Pelodiscus sinensis: one gene and its partners. The protein of the gene in region 2 interacts with the protein of the main gene of each other region in a biochemical or structural test. Links are inferred from orthologs where the notes say so. Each region holds a gene or a part of one and is shown on either strand. Other genes may lie near its edges. The genes, in order: MATK, ERBB2 and BLK.

The links.
Region 1: the proteins of ERBB2 (region 2) and MATK form a complex in vitro, tested with the Homo sapiens proteins (2 studies listed by BioGRID and IntAct, with this or other methods). The link is inferred for Pelodiscus sinensis from reciprocal best matches to the Homo sapiens genes ERBB2 and MATK.
Region 3: the proteins of ERBB2 (region 2) and BLK form a complex in vitro, tested with the Homo sapiens proteins (2 studies listed by BioGRID and IntAct, with this or other methods). The link is inferred for Pelodiscus sinensis from reciprocal best matches to the Homo sapiens genes ERBB2 and BLK.

The regions. Positions count from the first base shown.
Region 1 is NC_134729.1:30,054,649-30,058,393, forward strand, and holds the start of MATK (megakaryocyte-associated tyrosine-protein kinase), read right to left. Parts: upstream 2,288-3,745; 5' UTR 1-2,287.
Region 2 is NC_134739.1:11,545,618-11,549,362, reverse strand, and holds the start of ERBB2 (receptor tyrosine-protein kinase erbB-2), read left to right. Parts: upstream 1-1,531; 5' UTR 1,532-1,657; coding exon 1,658-1,736; intron 1,737-3,745. UniProt on the Homo sapiens protein: Protein tyrosine kinase that is part of several cell surface receptor complexes, but that apparently needs a coreceptor for ligand binding. Essential component of a neuregulin-receptor complex, although neuregulins do not interact with it alone.
Region 3 is NC_134713.1:2,660,391-2,664,135, reverse strand, and holds the start of BLK (tyrosine-protein kinase Blk), read left to right. Parts: upstream 1-854; 5' UTR 855-2,689; coding exon 2,690-2,793; intron 2,794-2,799; exon of another isoform or gene 2,800-3,122; intron 3,123-3,745. UniProt on the Homo sapiens protein: Non-receptor tyrosine kinase involved in B-lymphocyte development, differentiation and signaling. B-cell receptor (BCR) signaling requires a tight regulation of several protein tyrosine kinases and phosphatases, and associated coreceptors.

The DNA of each region.
Region 1 (3,745 bases), on a different chromosome or scaffold from region 2:
ACAGGAGATGAAGCGGAAGCAAAGCCTACTGAACGAGGCACAAAACACACCCATGAGGCTGACCAAACCAGCCTGTCAGGTGGAACCTGACCACTGGACGCTGTTATCTCTGACCACGCTTCCCTGGAGGAGGCTTGCTGAAAGCTCAGGTGTGAATGTTGCTCTGCTGAGCCAGAGGCAGCAGGCAGATCGGAACAGCAGGTCTTGCTATAGCACTGAGAAAGCGTTGAAGCATCACGCACAGGAAGAGGACAACGATGCTCTCTACTGGCTCCTACCTACCAAAGGGAGAGCACTTCTGGCTCAGCTAGGAGTGATCAGTCCTGCACTGGCGGGGGTCGGGGTAGCTGGGCTTACAGGTTTCCAGTGATTGTCATGCTGAAGGAAGTTGGCTGCTGGCCAGCCCTGGGAAGAACAAACCAGAGGGCAAGTTTCTGCACCCGACCCAGCCTCTTGTGAGACTGGCTCAATGCAGCCATTGCTAGGTTAAGAGGGGGGTTCACGACCTCACGGTGGCAGTTTTGATGATGCAAGTGCCTGGTCTACCAAGCTCATTCACAGGAGTCAGCACCCGGCATCTTGGGAGGGTTAAAGTTGGTTGTTTTGGTCCCTTGCCGTTCCCAAGCGGTGGGAAAGGCCTGACAGTAGGCGCGGGTCTGTGAGACGCTTTGTCTGCATGGATCCCACTGCTGAGATTCATGGGCCCTACCGGTGGAAACCTCATGCACAAATAACTGAAGATCCATCCAGATGAGAAGCTCCTGTCCAATGCCTCTCATGACCGGCAGTCCCGATCTGTCGGGCCTAGGGGACAGGAAACGCTAGCCCCGACCCAGCGGTGGGCAACCTGCAGCCGGCCAGGGTTGTGTGTGTGGCTCGTGAGATAGTGCTGCCATTGCCAGATTCTGCTGATTTTCATCCACATCGATTTTTCCTACCGACGTGACCCGCACATAAAGCCAGGGCGTGTGAAGTGAGGAGGGCGCTGACTGTGAGAGCTGCGCGCTCCCCCGCATCCAATCACAATGCTGCCACGGCTCAGTCGCTCCATCCTGCAGTGAGCGGAGCTACCCCATCCCAGGAGACTGCCCTGGCGCCCACAAACTTACAGTCCACTGAGATGAAGGAGGGCCGCTCGTGCAGCTCCCCCACTAGGCTAGGTTGCCCCTCCCAGTCCTGAACTGTTCCACCCCTTTGGAACCACTTTTGATTGCTGTAGCCTGTGCAATTGCAGGTCTCTGACATGCTCCTGGAGATATCGAAACATACAGCCCAGCCCGTTCACTGCGTAGTCCTGCCTGGCACAAGTGCACTGGACAAGTGTCTGCATCAGTGCAAACAGCAGTGGAAGAGCTGGCAACTGTGCAGACAGGTTACAGGAAACCTACCCACAGCTCGGTGTCAGACAGCAGACTGGCGGTGCCGCACACACTGCCCCCCTCCCATCTACCCACCACATGGGGTCAGACGGCTCCCTGAGCACAAGCACCCGCTGAGACAGAGGGCAGCTTATTGTCTTGCAGCACCAAGGGGAGGACACTGCTGTTTATCCCGCTGAGTGTAGCACTTTGAAGGTCCCCAGCGCTTCTGGCCTCCTGGAGGGGAGAAGGTAAACGTATTACCCAGCCGCGGCTACTGCCCTAGCCAGACCCTGTGCTTACCTTCCTGCAGCACCCATGCAAAGCCCTTGGCACCAAAGTCGTTGCAGGTTTGCTCACTGCCAAGCCAAGCCCAGACCTGAGTCGCAAGAACTTGTAGAATAAATTCCCAGTTCAAATGATGGAGCAGAACTTTACCTCCTGCGCAGCCGTGTTCACAGAACAGCCACTCTGAGAAACTCCTCTCCGCTTTATTTCCTGATTTCTCTTTGAGGCTGGGCTGCAGAGGCAGTGCCTTGGAGGTCCTAGTGCCTGCTTTTATGCAGCCAGTTTTAACCAGAGATGATTCAGTCTTCGATGACGCTTTACCCCGAGGTGACTTTAGCCCCCTTGCTGCACAAGTTCACATCCCAACAGAGGAAGTATCAGCAGCTGTCTGATTTGAAACCATGCAGCAGTTTGTGACACCCAAGCAAACTAACAATCAGCTGATATGAAACAGTGAGTTATTGTTCTGCTACTCCCTGTTTTGTGGTGGTGCCCACACAAACGTCCCAGACATTGTGCTCAGCAAGTGACAAAACGAGAATTACCGTGTGGCAGGGGAGATTTTGAACATTTTGGAAGGAAAATGTTCTGGCCCTAGCCCATAGGTGTGCGCAGCACATCTCATTAGGGTGTGCCCCAAAGAATTTTTTAAAAATTTACTTTGACTCCCATTAGCCACAACCCTGACCCCAGTTAACCACGCCCGACCCCCATGGGCCACACCCCCTGACTCCCATTAGCCACAACCCTGACCCCAGTTAACCACGCCCGACCCCCATGGGCCACAGCTCTGGAGGTAACACTCTGGGGGCAAGATGGACACATGGCCAGAAGTAAATGGTGTCATGTGACCCCCCCCTAAGGACTTTTCCCACCATCCTCCTACCAATAGGGATTAGTTTGCCTCCCCCCCCAACTATCTGCAGTTGCATTACCCCAATGTGTGTGACCTGCCCTCCTCCACCAGCCCTTCTCTCCCCTGTGCCCACTCCTCCAGTAGCCCCACTCTGATCATGTGAGCTACCCCTCCTCATCCCCCCTCCTAACACCTCCCCTGCCTCTCTCCCCTGGTGCTGGTCCCTCCCCTGCAGGTGTCTGCCCTTCTGCTTCACCCCCAGAATCCCCTGGCACCTGCACCTTCCCTTAGCCCTGAACCCTCCTGGTGCCTCCCCCTTCCCTCACTGCCCCTGCCCCCTTTTTCCCTGATGCCCACCCCCTCACCTCCTTCTGCCCCCATTCCCCTCATGCCCCTGTGCCCTCGCACATGCCTTGCTCCATCCCCGCCCTTCTCATGCCCACCCCTTCTTTCAAGCCTTTTCCCAGCACCTCCCCCTCCTCGCTCTAACCCTCAATGCCCCTCTCCTCTCCTAGCATCACCCTGTCCCCCCTCCTCCCCTCCTGCCCCTTCCTCTTCCACCTCTTCCTCGTATTTTCCCCCCTTCTCCTCCCCTTCCTTACCTTACCTTCGGTTTCTGCCTTCTGATTCCTGGGGCTGGAGTCTGAGCTGGCCCAAGCTACAGGCTGGCCAGGCCCTAGTCTGGGCGCCTCCAAGGTGCCGCGTGGTGCTGCTGGGCGGGGCGAGGGCGCCTCCAGGGAGCCTCAGTGGGGCCGTGCGGTGCTGCCGGGCTGGGTGGGCGCGTCCCCAGGGCACTGCGTGGTGCTGCTGGGCCGGGCAGGGTGCCTCCGGGGAGCCTCACTGGGGCCGCGCGGTGCTGCCAGGCTGGGCAGGGGCGTCCCCAGGGCGCAGGGCGGTGCTGCCAGGCTGGGGGGGGTGCCCCTGGGTACACAAAGGGCGGTGCTGCCGGGTCTGGGGTGCAAAAATGGCTCAGGCCAGCTGGTGTTTTCGGGCCTCCGCCCCAGCTGCTTCTGGAGCTGGGCCACACGGTTTGAAAGTCCCAGGCCGTGACGTCATGCCACGCCCGGGCATCTTACCTCTTGCGCGGCGTTTGAGCACGCCATGCATGCTCCCTCTCTGCTCCACAGTGCCCTGGTGATGGCTGTGGGGAATTTAAAGTGAGGGGCTGCGGCGCCTCGTCACAAATCCCTCTCCTCCTCCAGCAGCCGCTAGCTGGCCGGAGACATTAGGGTGTGCCTGGGTT
Region 2 (3,745 bases):
TCCTTTTTTGAAATGTACAAGAGCCCCTTCCACATTCCTCCTTTGAAATGTACAAGAGCCCCTTCCGCATTCCTCCTTTGGAATGTACAAGAGCTCCTACTGGGGCTCTTGTACATTTCAAAGGAAGAATGCGGAAGTGCCTATAGACTAGTCAAAAAACTATCTGATAAGCAAATGCTTATCTGATAGTCAACCAGTTGACTTGTCTTTAACATTCTTAGTTCCACCCTCAAACCACATTCAGCCCATAGGTAAGTTCACGGAGCGCACGTTCGTAAATGGCTATGAGTCAAGATGATTCGGGACACAACCCTCTAAACCTTGGACTGCTAGAAGCTGGAGCTGGACAGCAGGGATAGGTCGCTCAACAGTGCCCTGTTCTGTTCATTCCCTCTGAAGCATCTGGCCACCATCATAGAGAGGATGCTGGGTTGGGTTGGATGGGCCACCGGGCTGATGCAGTGTGGCCGTTCTTTTGCTCATAAACCAAACCCCTCTCTTTACTTCCAGCTCTGCACCATCGCACCATCCTGTTCACGCCCACCTTGGCCAGTAGCAAAATGAGCTCTGTTCACACGGAGCAGCCATGAGCGCTCATTCGTTTTCTGAGTTAACCTCCTCCCCCGAGGCCAGTGCCTGCCCCTCGGGCGATTGTTTCAGGCCCTCCACGGACTCCCTGCCTCTGGGCACTCAGCGCCCTTACAAAGTAGAGCAGGAGGCCAGAATTTTCAGAAGGGTCCGACACCCGCAGTCACGGCAGAGTTTCAAACCCTCAGCCTCCGTTCAGGCCAGAGGTGGGGAACCTTTTTGGGGGGGGGATGCTGATCCAGAGAAAAATCAGTCGGGGGCAGCACACTGGTGAGAAGCAAGCAAACCAACAAACCCTCACTGAGAAAGAGAAAGACCCTCTCCACATTCCCCTCCTGCACCAGAGCTTGGGGGGCTAGGCTAGTACATTTTGCCCACTCCAGCTCTGCAGGGAGGGGGGCTGAAGCACCAGTGTAGGCTCCCCAGTGTTGGGGGGGGCGCCCTAAGCCTCGGGGGCCAGATCCAGGCAAACTAGGAGGCCCCGGGCCTGAGGTGCCCCACCCCTTTGGGCACAGAAAGATGGGGCGAGAGAGTCGAACTCCCCCGCCCCTCCACTTGAAAACCCAGCTGCTTTTGCAGGTGTTTGCAGAGTTGAGAAAGACCCGCCCCTGGATCCCAGACGGCGCGGGCAGGGGCTAATATCCCCGGCCCGGTCCCCTAGCTCGGGAAGGAAGCTCCCTGCTCCGGAACGGTCCTCGGAGCGCTTGGCGAGCCTCGCCTCGCCTCTCCGGGGAGAGATGGCCCAGGGAGGGGGCATCCCCCGGCCCTTTTATCTTTCGCTCTCCTCCTCCTCCCTCTGCAGCCTCCGGGCGCGCCCCCCGGAGGGCAGAGCCAGCCGGGGCATCCAAGGCGCTGCTCCCCCAGGACGCGCGCCAGGCTCCGGGCGCGCCCGCGCCTCGCCACTCCCAGGGGAGTTGGAATCCCGCGCGGGGGCGCGCGGCGCGTCCCCGCCGCCCCGAGGAGGAAGTGCCGCGCGGGCACGACGCTGGGTTCGCAGAGCCAGGGGGACCCCGCCCCCCCCTCGCGGCAGAGACCCCGGAGCCATGGGCTGCAGCCCGCAGTGAAGACAATGACCCCCCCCAGCAGCGGCTGGCTCTGCATGGGGCTGCTCCTCGCCGCTTGCCTGCCCGGCGGCCGCAGCCACGACGGTGGGTCCGGGCTGGGGAAAAGTTTGTGCGGGGCGCGAGGAAAGAGGGAAAGTTCCGAGGGGGGGGGGGGGGAGCTTGGGATGTGGGCGAAGGAAAGCGGAGCTGGGAAGCGCCCAGCCAGCCGCGGGAAAGGGGGGGGGGGCGAAGAGGGGGGCCCACCCAACAAACTTTGCAGAAGTTTTGTGTCCCGTGCATCCAGCCGGAGAGCGAACCTAGCGCTGCCGATCGGCGCGGGGTTGCCCCGGGAGCTCCCGAGCACGCAGGAATGAGCCTCCCATGGGGGAGGGAGGGGGGCAGTGGGGTAAAAGGGTGCAGCCTTGGTTCACGACTTCAGCGATCCTGGCAGCGACTAGGTCCCACGAGTCCTTAGCGAGGATTCAGCCCGGCAGAGCCACTTCAGTAGGGAGCCTGTTTCCATGGGTTGTGGGGTTTGATCCCGCCCCGAAGAGCGATCGCTGCTTTTCTTTCCCGGGGACTCTGACTCCTTCTCCCCCCCCTTCAGACCTGCCAGAAAAATCGAGTTGCCCCGGGAGTGTCAGGGAGGGGAGACCTTGGCAGGTTTTTAAAATGGTTTCTCTCTCTCACTCCCTTGCTTCCTTGGGGGCTGTCCCACGGAACCAGTGGCTTTACAAAAATAAGCTCCATGCGGCTTACTTACTAGGAAAATGACAATCTCCTGCAGACCCTAAAGGTGCAGGCTGGGATCTAGAGAGCTGTGTGGCTAGGCACTGCCTAGAGTCACTCCTCCCATGGTTCTGTACAATGGCAGAGGCCTGGGTCAGACTTAGCACTTTCAAAGGTGTTTGGATAAACGAAACAAGGTGCATTTTTTTCCGTTTTAATCGTATTTTGCTTTGGGTGGGAAATCCCACCCTCTCCAGATGAATCCTGTTCCCAGGAATAGTTTACCCGGCCAATTGTTTTCTATCTCACCCACAAATGTAATAGTCTGGAAAGGAGTTTATATTACAAATTGCAGAGGGGAGGACTCCAGTCAGTTGTGGTGAGGGGGCGGGTCACAGGTAAATGCTTATTTTGCATGTTTCAGTATTTATGACAAGGAAGTAGGTAAGGCCAGAAAGATTTTAGCCTCGTTGCTTTATGCTGAAGGCAAGTTGTTTATTGAAAATGTTCCCACCTCATCCATCTTGTCTGCTGTTGATGAGTGTCAAGCTGTTTACTGTAGTCAAATACGGTGGGGCCGAGTGTTATTGGCGAGTTACATTTTGTAGTTCGTTAGCACTCATGGTTTACACAGGAAATTCTAGCTACTGATGCCCAAGGGAGTTGCCCAGTATGTTGGATGTAGATACATAATCCATAGCAGAAACCTAAATCTTTACTTAGTGTTTGTTTTCTGATGTCTTAGCGGAAGTAGGACTAGGACTTGCAAATTTGGCACGTTTACTTTATACCCATCAATACACCATATTTAGTGAAAAGTTCTCAGATAACAGTATCTTATCGAGGACCGCTCATCCTGCAGCCCGTCAGAGACTTTACATATACAGGAGTAACTTCACTCACAAGGTCCTATTGGTGTCGGGGGAGGTGGGCAGTGTTAGCTGCCTAATACTACAGAACAACACTATCCAACAGTTTGAGGGACAAAGTGAAGGGGAAAACTCCTTCAGTTGAATCTGCAGGAGTGAAGGGGATGTAGAGCGGCAAAATGTATCTACTCAGTTTGGAATTGGGTAGGACAGTCGAGCTAACTCCCTCCTCCCTCCTGAGATGAGATAATCCCTCAGGATCTTAAAGGATTTCAGCTGATACATCAGCCAAAACCTGCCCCTTATTGCCACAGTGGGACGTTAGTTCTGAAAGAGCGTCACCTGCCAAGTTTGGTGCCCTGCTTGGGTTTTCCTGTGTGCTTGTGTGTGTATCTGGGCGTCCCACATGCATGCCCAATCCTGTGAAGCTGATGCGATCGTAACAGAAAGTGGGCACTGAATTCTGAATCACCTGTTCCAGGTGAGATGCCAATAAGATGCTTTGTGTTTGTCGGG
Region 3 (3,745 bases), on a different chromosome or scaffold from region 2:
ACAAACCATTTCCCTAGGCGGGTGGGGAAGCCCTGGGCTGGGTTCCCTAGGGAGGGGTGGAATCTCCATCCCTAGGGGTGTTTAAGTCCCAGCTGGACAAAGCCCTGGCTGGGACGATTGAGTTGGGGCTGGTTCTGCTCTGGGCTGGACTCGGTGACTCCTGAGGTCTCTTCCAGCCCCGTGATTTTATGAAATGTTTGGGGAAGAACCTGCATTTCTGCAAAAGGGGATTTGGGGCAGTGGCTCCCCCAGGCCGGGGAGACTGGACTGAAGAACTCATATCTTCTGTGGTGTGAGGGGGCTTTGCGTTGTCCCGTGGACTATCCAAAGAGTCACACCCTGCACGTGAATGCAGATTCCCAGTCACGTTTTGCAAGAGCCGAGCATCTCCCCAAAGAGGGAAATCTGGTAGCTCCTCCCCCTCAGGCAAATTTTATCTTTTACATCTGATGTCCCAGAAACTCCCCTTCTGTGTGCTCAGCCTTCCCCATCCTGCTCTCATTTACCATCGGACTCCACCCCAGAGGTGGCTGCATTTCAGTGGCGAAATGGTTTCTGTGAAAACGGGGCTCGATTCCGTGTCAGCTGGTGAGCCCTTCCTCCCCCTGGGAAGTCAACGGGAATCGGTGCCACCGCATGGCCAGTAGCACCGCTTGCACCACCCCCCGGGAGAGATGGTCCCACCCTCTTGAGCTTCACAGCGCTGCCCAAGGGATCCCTCCCCCCAATTGGCTGCCTTCCGCTTCCCCACCTCCTGGGGGAAAGCAGCCAATCAGGACTGCAGCAGAAGGAGGGCAGATCTCTCCGCGTTCCCCATGGCTCTGCTCCCCCCCGCTTTGCTCCTGTAATGGGTCAGTCTGCTCTCAGCTCCTCCCCCCACCCCCTTCAATGCCAGACCTGAGGATGGGGAAAAGGGGATTTGGGGCAGTAGCTCCCCCAGGCTGGGGAGGCTGGAGGGAAGAACGCCTAGAGCAGGGGTGTGCTGAGGGGCAAAGGGCAGCTGTGGGTAGTATTGATGTGGGGCTGTGGGTGCGTCATTCCTTCTGGGGGGGCAGAAGGGAGGTTGGACCGGCACAGCATGAGTTGGGGGGGCAGGAATGGGAGTTCCACGTGATCAGGCAGCGTGGGAGGCGAATCGGTGTAATTTCTTCTCCACGGGGTCCTCTGTCCACAGCAGGGCCCAGATCACCCTCCTCTCAGCATTTTGGGAGAATGGGAAACATGGCAATGTCCCATAGAGCCTCGGGGGTGAGAAGGGAGAACTAGGGGTCACCAGATGAAATGAATAGGCGGCAGGTTTGAAACTAACAAAAGGAAGTTTTTCTTCATGCAGCGCACGGCCAACCTGTGGAACTCCTTGCCGGAGGAGGCTGTGAAGACCAGGACTTTAACTGGGTTCAAAAAAGAACTAGATAGATTCATAGAGGTTAGGTCCATTGATGGCTATTCGCCAGGCTGGGCAGGGATGGTGTCCCTAGCCTCTGTTTGTCAGGGGCTGGGAATGGGTGACAGGAGAGGGATCACTGGATGATTCCCTGTTCTGTTCCCTCCCTCTGGGGCACCTGGCATTGGCCCCCGTGGGCAGACAGGCCATTGAGCTAGATGGGCCTTCGTTCTGACCCAATCTGGCCATTCTGATGTTCAAAAGTCAAAAGACAGATCAATATCACACGATTTGGGAACCAGTCTTGGTGATGTTTCAGGGTCAGGCACAGGACATTTGAACATTGGGGGGGCTGGCAATATTGGGTGAGTCGTAAACCTGGGCTAGTATGCTGGCATCCGCGTATGAGAATCTGGCCTAAAATTGCTGGAGCCCTTTGGGTTGAAAGCACCACACTGGTCAGCTTCTGAAATCCTTAGCCCAGGGGAATGTAATTTAGCTGACGTGTGTCAGCCTCGTGACCATTGGGCAAGTAGGAATGCTGCCCCTGTCACCCACACCCTTACTGGGGGTGGTTCCCTGTCCCATGGAGTGGCACTTAGACCGCTTACAGAAAAAATAATGAATCCTTTAGCTCACGTACAAATTGCCAGAGGTCCCAGGCTCAGTTCTGCCCGCACTACACAAACTTTCTGTGCACCCCAAGTTTCCATAGTTTGCTGAGAACCTTTTGTATGCTCATGTGGCAACTCAGAACACAGCTCAATTGTGACCTCAGCTAGGACTTGAACCCACATGCTCTAGTTTAAAAGGCCAGTACCATCCCTGTTCCACCACAGAGGGCAGATGAGCCACCTTGCCAAGAGTGTTTAGTGGCCAGCATGGGGCATGACCCCCTCTCCCCCACCCTGGCATTATTAGCATCACACTCTAGCCAGCTAAGCTAGCTGGCCCAAGAAGTTTTCCTCCTCTTGTTAATCAGATGACTTGCCTGTCTTGCCCGCTTCCTGTTGTTTCCACTGAAGAACTGATTAGCCGCGGCCAGCAGGGAAATCAAACTCATCTTGTAGCTTGCAGACCTCTTACTTGGCATAGTGTAACCCACTGGGTAGCCTGTGTTACTGGCCCCCTTCTGTGTCTATCTACCGAAGCCGTGTGGGTCCCTGGTGCGTCCAGTGAGAGAGCTTTATCACTAGGTGCATCGTCTGCTCTCAATCCTTGAGGCGTTGGCCAAGAGGTGGGGCCTCACCACAGCACCGGATGCGGGTGTAATGTTACATTCCTCAGCTCGGCCCGGCCACGCACATGGAAAGTGGAACAGCAGCCCCCTGGAAGCAACTCTGCCACCCCTCCGAGGCCTGGTCTACACTGGAGGGGAAGGTCGACCTAAGCTACGCAACGCCGGCTCTGTGAGTTGCATAGCTGGAGTCGCCGTGCCTTAAATCCCCGTCCACACAGCGGGAGGCCGATGGGCGCGCACGGTGCCACTTGCTTCCCTTACTCCTGGCAGAAGGAGAAGCACTGGACGCCAGCGGGGGATGACTTCAGCATTCAATTGAGCGGGCCTGCGCTAGACCCGCTAAATCAAACATTAGAAGATCAACTTCTTCTCTGTAGTGCAGAGACACCCTGAGAGGACATAACATAGGCAGGCTTGTAAAGACATTAAGGCTCCCTTATTCTTTTGCACAAGCGTGTAGGGCGAGCGATGATTTTACATCAACTTAAATAATTAGAGGTGATCAAAAAATGACACTTTTTCAATTTAATTTCCTGATCTATCTGTCTGTCTGTCTGTCTATCTATCTATCTATCTATCTATCTATCTATCGAATCATAGAACGGGAAGGGACCTCGAGAGGTCATCAGGTCCAATCCCCTGCCCTCATGACAGGACCAAGCACTGTCTAGATCATCCCTGACAGGTGTCCGTCCAACTTGCTCTTAACTATCTCCAGAGATGGAGATTCCACAACCTCCCTAAGCAACTTATTCCAGTGTTTCACCACCCTGACAGGTAGGAATTTTTTCATACTGTCCAACCTAAACTTCCTGTGCTGCAATTTCAACCCATTGCTTTTGTCCTGTCTTCAGAGGCCAAGGAGAACAATTTTTCTTCCTCCTCCTTGTAACACACTGTCTATATAATCTGGTGTTCAAAAACCTGACCCAGAAACATCGCTGGGGTCTCTGAAAATTTGAAACAATTCACTTCTCAGTAGAAATGTTTGGTTCCTAAATTTGATTTCTTCCTCTTTCCCTCCACCCCAGCTGTCTGCATCGAAGAAGCAGAAAAATTTGCCCAAAGCAAATAAGTAGGTTATAGTCAGAACGCTGTTTTTTTTGGCAAAGATGCTGTGG